Linked DNA regions of Xenopus tropicalis. The protein of the gene in region 1 purifies or fractionates together with the protein of each later gene. This does not show direct contact. Links are inferred from orthologs where the notes say so. Each region holds a gene or a part of one and is shown on either strand. Other genes may lie near its edges. The genes, in order: adrb2 and usp33.

Evidence for each region.
Region 2: the proteins of adrb2 (region 1) and usp33 purify together in Homo sapiens (affinity purification with western blotting; 3 studies listed by BioGRID and IntAct, with this or other methods). This does not show direct contact. The link is inferred for Xenopus tropicalis from reciprocal best matches to the Homo sapiens genes ADRB2 and USP33.

Annotation. Positions count from the first base shown.
Region 1 is NC_030679.2:41,027,386-41,031,763, forward strand, and holds the start of adrb2 (beta-2 adrenergic receptor), read right to left. Parts: upstream 2,921-4,378; 5' UTR 2,711-2,920; coding exon 1,451-2,710; 3' UTR 1-1,450. UniProt on the Homo sapiens protein: Beta-adrenergic receptors mediate the catecholamine-induced activation of adenylate cyclase through the action of G proteins. The beta-2-adrenergic receptor binds epinephrine with an approximately 30-fold greater affinity than it does norepinephrine.
Region 2 is NC_030680.2:80,353,915-80,357,735, reverse strand, and holds part of usp33 (ubiquitin carboxyl-terminal hydrolase 33), read right to left. Parts: intron 3,444-3,821; coding exon 3,362-3,443; intron 1,095-3,361; coding exon 986-1,094; intron 1-985. UniProt on the Homo sapiens protein: Deubiquitinating enzyme involved in various processes such as centrosome duplication, cellular migration and beta-2 adrenergic receptor/ADRB2 recycling.

The DNA.
Region 1 (4,378 bases):
TTTCCTAGTTTATGCCTAAACATACCCCATTAAATCTATACTGAGTAGAATCATTGAAGAGACAAGAGGAAACAACCCGCAAGCTTGTCTTTAAGTGCTGCTGAACTACAACTCTCAGAATCCTACCACTGTCATGGGCAACTGCTGAGCACTGTAGTGCAGTCACATCTGGAAAGCCCCATATTTTGCTCATAACCCAGAGATAACTGATTAATTACCCTGACAGGACTTGGTTTCAGCCAGAGATCAGACACTACAGAACAGCAGTAGGAACATCTGTTCTGCCCCATCTAGGAGACAAGGACTCATTTATCTCGCAAATAGGGATCTAGGAGGCTGGGCTCACCGAAAAAACAGATTAGTTTGCCATCAAGAAGGGGATGGGTCCTCCACTCAACTTTGGACTTCACTGCTAAAATTAGATGAACTAAGTTAGACCTTTAACCCTTCTATCCTTAAAATACACTTTTGGTTAGAGGCTCCAGTATACGTGACAGTCACTGCAAATGTCAAATTGCTTATAAAAAGTGCCACTTTCCAACCTGCAACAGAGGGGTTAAAGGGGAATGCAAAGATTGGCACAAACCTAAAAGGGTGGCTGGAAATGTATTGAGTTAGCTCTGCGACTTTTTTTTTTTTTTTTACTGCATTTCCTCCCTGAGAAACCATGAAAAAAAAGAATTTATTTACAGGTGCAAAAGTACACAATGGTGGTAACTATAGCAACTATTCTGATATTATTTTACATGGTTTCACAGCAGCTTGCAAAACACGACCAACCAAAGCTGGTTGCTATAGGTTACTGCAATTGTGCCTTTTTGCACCTATGCTGAATGACCCCCAAGGGTCTCTCCTGGTTGCAACACACAGTTTTCATCAGTCTTATACAGAATATACGTTTTCCTATCTCTCACAACCCAACTTTTGCAATTTCAAAAGTTCAAAATATTAAGCTCAGCACATTAACCCCATCATTACTCAGGAGAGCTATCTCAAGGAAAGTAGAATTAACCCTGTCCCTTCCGCCAACAGCAGCTGTTTTTTGTATTATTAAGGGGTAGAAAAGGGGGGAAAAAGCAAGATTTTTTTTTTTTAAGTTTCAGAATTCTTGAACTTAGAATTCAATTTTTTTTTAAGGGTTTGAGGTAGATTTTTCTTCAGTAAAGTACACAGGGCAGCAACATAAAAATATAAAAGCCATTACATTATAACAAAAGATCTCTTACCTTAATTTAAGAGGAACTGAAAATAGACAGAAATGTACATTTTCTCATAATAAATTTATACATTCTGCAAGACATGGGCACTGCCCTTCTGCAAAATATACATATATAATATACATATAAAAACATTTTCCTTTGTATTATACATTCGGATATCTGGTTGACCCTTGTATTGCAATAATCCAGTTTGTTGTAATAGTTCAAATATTAAAAAAAAATCGACAATCCTATAATAAGCAATCATGCGTGTTATGATTCTTGCCCAGTGGTTCCAAGCTAAAATCTAGAAGAGTACCTTCACAGTTCAAAAGGGAGGGATTGGGAGTTTTCTCCTCTTTAAATAAAACTTCACAAGTCCTGTCTTTAGAATACTGACAAGGTTCTGTGTCTTCGTTGTATGCACTGTTCCCATTGCTCTGGGGGTACCCATTGGCATAGGCTTTGGAGCCCGGTTTCCTTAAGCACAGCAGCTCCTGAAAAGTGTATCTGAAATCTGGGCTCCTGCAGTAGATTAACGGGTTAAAGGCAGAGTTGACATATCCCACCCAGTTCAAGAAGTTGTAAACTTTGACAGGGATAAAGTCTTTGTGCATCACCTGGACAATGTTGACTATAAAAAAGGGGAGCCAACACAAAGTAAAAGTGCCCATTATTATCCCCAAAGTCTTCAGTGCCTTGTGCTCCTTCAACCAAAACTTTGAGGTCCTTTTATTTCCTTGCTTACCATTGGTGTCCTGTTGGTTATTCTGGTTGTGGAACCTTCCCTCGCTTTTGTCTATTTTCTTTAGTTGTTTTTTGGCCTCCTGGAAGACCCTTGCGTAGACAAAAATCATGACCACCAGAGGTAAGTAGAAGGAGATGATGGAAGAGGAGATGGCATAAGCAGGGTTGGTGAAGAAAAAACAACAGGAGGGGTCATCATAGCAATGCAAGGCACTCTCCTCCTCTATCCTATACCAGTGCATGTAGATGGGGAGGAAAGAGGTAAGTGTGGACACCACCCACACCAGCAGGATGACAATCCTGGCTTTGCACTTGGTCAGGAGGCTCTGATACCTGAATGGAGAGGTAATGGCGAAGTACCTATCCACTGCAATGACGCAAAGGGTCTCTATGCTGGCAGTGACGCAAAGGATATCCACTGATGTCCAGAACTCGCACCAGAAGTTATTGAAAACCCAAGTGTCCAGGATGATGGAACTCGCTCCGAAGGGCACCACTATCAGCCCCATCAGCAGGTCCGCACAGGCTAAAGACGTGATGAAGTAGTTGGTGACCGTCTGCAGCCTCTGGAACTTGGCTATGGCAGTGATCACCAACACGTTGCCGAGCACAATCACCAACACGATGCAAGACATGATTATGCCCATGCCCACCATCCACGCATCCCCGGGCTTATCGCTGGCGTTGCTAGTGTTGGAGACGTTGGAGACCAGCTGTTCGAGGGTGCTGTTAGGGTAGGGGCTGGCGGTGACCCGCTGTTCCATAGCTTTGCAGTCCCTTTGACTTTACTTCCACTTGTTAGGAGTCGGTTGGGTGTGACACGCAGCGCTGAAAGTACTCCTGCCCCGCGTATATCCAGCGCATTTAGCCATGGGGGAGGCGGAGTTGCCCGGTGTCGTTCATTTGTGCCCGTCCTGTTTGTGGGGCGTTAGACATGGAACTACCTCTCTCTCCTGAGAGTCTCTTCTGATTCTGGGCTGTGGGCTCGCCTGCTTTCTTTTATTAACACCCGCCCTTACGTCACAACGGGCTCCAGCCAATCCCCGGAGAGCAAGAGCGGGATACCGCGTAACACCGGCTGGTCGCTGCCTTTCTCTTTTCCTTTCGGAAGTTGCCTGCGCTAATAGTTAGCTGCGCTATACTGCGCTATACTGCACGGCGGATCAAACGGTGCCACTTACAGGCTTTAAGCAGGGTGGGCTCGAAGTTGCACGGCAGTGCATCTAATCAGTTGCTGATGTACAAGTACAGCCCCTGGTATCCCCCGAGAGTTCGAATTCTACAGCTACTGGGGCTGACTGGACATTACTGGACTCTTTCTGCGATTGGCAGATGTTTAGCTATGTCCAAAGTTTGATGTTTAGGTACAATTCCCACCATTGATTAGTTGGATAGCTTGTGTTACATATCCCCCTGCTTTAGGGTGAAGACACACAGAGCTACTAGTCGCAGCTTCTTTTTCACAGCTACTAAACGCCAGAAAATACCCTCCCATGGACAATACTGAGAATTGCCTCTGCTAAAACACAGGTACAGCCAATTATCAGTAAATGATCAGCATTGTCTACTTTAGTATATATACTAGTAGCTCTGTGTGTCTTCACCCTTAAGCGTCACATAACCAGCTACTACTTGTATTTTATTTATGATTTATTTCTTGTCATTCTTTTGCCCAGTGTATCTGATATCTGTGCAACACCTATTCTGCATTGCAGAGGCTATTGTGGCACTATGCGCTAATGGGTAAGGGCAGTGAACAGAATAGGAAACAACGTCAATCATTTAAACACTAAAAACAGTCAGAACTGTAATTTATGTACAGAGTTGCAGCTATGAAGGCATGCTGCAACCAGCTAACCCATTCCCAAGGGCAAAGCAATAATCAGAGCAGGGAGGGTGAAGACTATGGTGGCCCCATACTGCTAATTGTTGCACCTCTGCTTTCTTCTAATTGTTGCACTGCAGCCAAGAGCAGAGCCCATGGGCATATACTGTATGTATGGGAAGAAAAGAAGTCGGCAATAAACCTTCGGACTATGTATAGTAATTGTATCTACAGCTGTCATAAAAGATATGTTCAAATTCTTCTTCAGTGCAGAGTAAACTTGCAAAAAGTACAGAGAAAATAGAGCTGCTATATTGTATGTGAGTGTACTGAAATAACTTGCCACCTAGGTAATTATTAAGTGAGAGTTTTGCTTTTGGCACATATTAGTGGTACCAGGGGGGCAAGGGGCTACTTAGATCACCCCATTGCCGTAGTAGCTTTTGTGGTGATGTGGCCCAAAAAACTCACTCGGCAGGCCTTTCAGCTGTTGTTGAACTACAGGTCCCAGAACACTAAAGAATTCCCCCCCGTATTCAACGGTCATTGGGTGCTGGGAGTTTAATAGCAAAAAAAAGGCTCATCTTGCTTTACTCCCCCTACTATA
Region 2 (3,821 bases), on another chromosome or scaffold:
CAATTTTTTAGCGGGTCAATAGGCAGTGCCAATCAGTCTTTTTAGGTCAATTGAGGGGAATTTCAGTTCACGTGGCTATTTTTTTTTTTATTAACAATTTTTGATTTTTTACATTCTTATTTTAAGGGAACTTGGCAACATTTTTAAATACCTGAAAATGTGAAATATCTTAAATCTCCCGGCGTGCCATAAACCTTACTGTGATTTAGAAAAACAATTTTTCCACCACAGTCTGCAATCTATCTAGTTATTCTTCTAATCTAGTTATTCTTATTAATCTAGTTATTCTTCTAATAGTTAATATTCTAATATATTTAACTATATTATGCAGCTCTACAGTTTTTACAATTTTTTAATCCATAGTTAATAGTAGAACATCAGTAAGACAGTTTGATACATTAGTAATTACATGGATCAACAACAACAGAAGCTTCATACCCTACTCAGAATGCACCTCAAGCTGTCAAAATGAACAACAGAATGGAACAGGGTAATGACAAGAGACACTTCCTACTTCAGTAAAATAAGATTTTGCCATTCTGCCTAGCCTTCTGCCCTTAACAGCCAGGGGAGCTTAATTTTATATACAGTGTGTAGCATAACACACAAGCATGAAAACGGTACCTGGAGGTGCCAAATAAGGGCTATGATTGGCTATTTGGTAGCCCCTATGTGGACTGGCAGCCTATAAAAGGCTCTCTTTGACTTTACACTGGGTTTTATGCAACCAAAACTTGCCTCCAAGCCAAGTATTCAAAAAATTAGCACCTGCTTTGAGGCCACTGGGAGCAACATCCAAGGGGTTGGTGAGCAACATGTTGCTCACAAGCTACTGGTTGGGGATCACTGATATAAGGTATCATATAATGTAGCACATGTTTCCTGGTTTAAGGTTATGCTTCACTCAACCTTCCAAAACTAGAGATAGGGATGGGGTTAGGAGATTATTGAGATTATATGAAAAAAAATAAGAGAAAGCAAATACCCGAATGAATGTCTCAAGCTCCATTTTACGTCTCTTTTCTATTTTCTCCATTTCTGTTTGGCAGGTGTAGCAAACATAGAGATGATTTACAGCTGGACCACCACCATATCTACATCACAAAAAAAGTTTTTTTTAGAAGACACGCTAAGTAAAGAATAGGCAAATCTTCTCTATATGCTCCATTGTTTAAAGTATATTGTGCTTTTTATGAGTTACAACATTTGTGAAGATATGTCCACTGTAAATGAGTCCAGTTCTCATATGTACCATTTCAGGGGACAACTGAGTCTATGTACAAAATGTTTCAGCATTGTGTGAACACTGTAACAAATTACTCATAGCCTAGTCCTGAATCCTTGCATCCAATGTACTAAAGAATGTTTTCTATATTATTCACCATTGTATAAAAGAGAAAATGCACTAAGATGGACAGCAACTAACTACTTCTCAGATGGTCTCTTAAGGCTCCTGTTGTGTCAGATGGTAGAAATTAGCAGAGCCAAGGTAGCAAGTATGATACCAAATGTCTATGGTGTGTGACTGCAAATGCATTTTCCCTTGAGTAAGTGAAAAAAGTCCACCAAGAAAGAAAAAACAAAACTTTAAACCCCTAAATATTATTCTGTGCAGAATTAATTAGAAAGGACCTCTGAGCACTTTTACAAATTGCATTTTGTTTCTGTTTTAAGTAGTTTCTGAGACATTCAACATTTTAAACATTTTAAGAGTCAGTGATAGAAAACTCTATGCACTTCTTGAATTTAGCACTTCCTAGGGTTGCTGACTATAATAAAAGTGTAAAATGCAATAGTACTCAGAGATGTAAGTTTACATCAATTCATTTTTTGGGTTTAGATCCCCTTTAAGACAAAACATTCACTTGGCGGCTGGAATTCGACATCTACACTTGCAAATGCATGCAATAGTCTTCTGAAATTAAACCAAAACATGGTATCTGTATGCATATATTTCTTTATGTGACCAAACCTTGCATCTAGAACAGTGCTGTCCAACTTCTGCTGTGCAGAGGGCCGGAATTTCTCGCGCATACATGGTGGAGGGCCGCTAATGGAAGCCACTCCCCCCTTTTAAACCACACCCACTTGAAACCACACCCATTTTATCACAATGGTGGTAGTGCAGCAAAAACCCAAATGCTTGGTCCTCACTGCAGGGATATCAACCATCATTCATATGTGAAAGAATTATATTGTCATATATGTCATATTAAGACACACCCTAAAATCCATATGACTTCTCCTCCCCTGTGGATAGCACAGCAACCCCCAGTACATAATTACACACCTTAGGGACCATTTACTGGCTATTTCCAACTTCTAACAAACTCCCAGAACAAACCCCTGCCAGGTTCACCTCCCACAGGCAGCATAGGGTAGCACTCTGCCTGCCCTACGCTACCTGTGTGTGCCATACTCTGCCTGCCCTATGATGCCTGTGTGTGCCATATGCTGCCTGTGTGTGCCATACTCTGCCCTACCCTGCCTGTGTGTGCCATACTTGGCCTGCCATATGCTGCCTGTGTGTGCCATACTCTGCCCTACCCTCCCTGTGTGTGCCATACTCTGCCCTACCCTCCCTGTGTGTGCCATACTCTGCCCTACCCTGCCTGTGTGTTCAATACCTTCCCTGTCCTATGCTGCCTGTTTGTGCCATACCCTCCCTGCCCTATGCTGCCTGTTTGTGCCATACCCTCCCTGCCCCATGGGTAAACCATCAAAGCAGCCAGACAGGTGGGGGGCCACACAGAGGGCGGCCCGCGGGCCGCCAGTTGGACAGCACTGATCTAGAAGATCAGAACCTATTTTTAAAGCAGTTACAAACATTTAGCCTAACAAAAAAATGTATATATGAGCAATCTCTTTTCAAGCATTTACTTCAAGCATAAAAATCATATTGCTTTTTTCCTAAATTTGTCACTGCAGCTTCCATATGCATAATCTGAGGATGTGAACATAAGGTACCACGTTATTAACCCACACATCTAATCACCCTGTTTGAAAAAAATGATTTTTAACTTAACTTTTTTTTTTTTTTTTTTTTGCAATACAGCTATACATGTAGATTGCTGGTCTCTGCACTGAATGCCAGATCAGAAATCTGGAGCTCGGTGGAGGTGAAGCAGCCCTGTCCTTACCACCTGCTTTAAGGGAGGCCTACGTATGGGTTTCCCTCTGTTGGATCAAGGGCTGCCTAATGCAGGCAGCCTTCAATTCAGGTGCCTGAGCCCAAAAAGGAAGTTGCAAGGAACACAATGCAGGAATAGTGTGCAAAATAAAAACAAAATGGCAGATTGCACCATCGTTACATGTCAAATACAATAATATAAACAGAATTTACTATGGACAAAGGCCATACCTGCTATATAAATAATCCCATATGTTCTGAGGAAGCATGACAACAAGATCTTCAATAAAGCTTGCCTTACGTGGAGGTACACCTAGAGTTACAAAAAATATCTACTGTTAGCAAATTATTAAATCTGCAATCTAAAGAAACAGCAGCTTCTCTCTGCAAGACACACATTTGTTTTTCACAAACCGTATAGAAAAGAATCCAAACCCTAAATTAAGGGTTCAGCTGAATCCATACTTTTATTGGTATCTTTGGAGGTTTGATAACCATTAGCACCCATTAATGAAGTTATTTAAAGAGCTATCCGTCACAATAAAACCCTTGTTTACAGTTTCCTTTTCTTAGACTGTATTTATTTGTTTAGTTCATCTGTGAAGCAGTTTACAGTTATATTTGCACTGAAAAGAAGTAAACACTTGTTCAGTAATAGTGTGATCACCATAAAAATAAAATCATTTTCAGT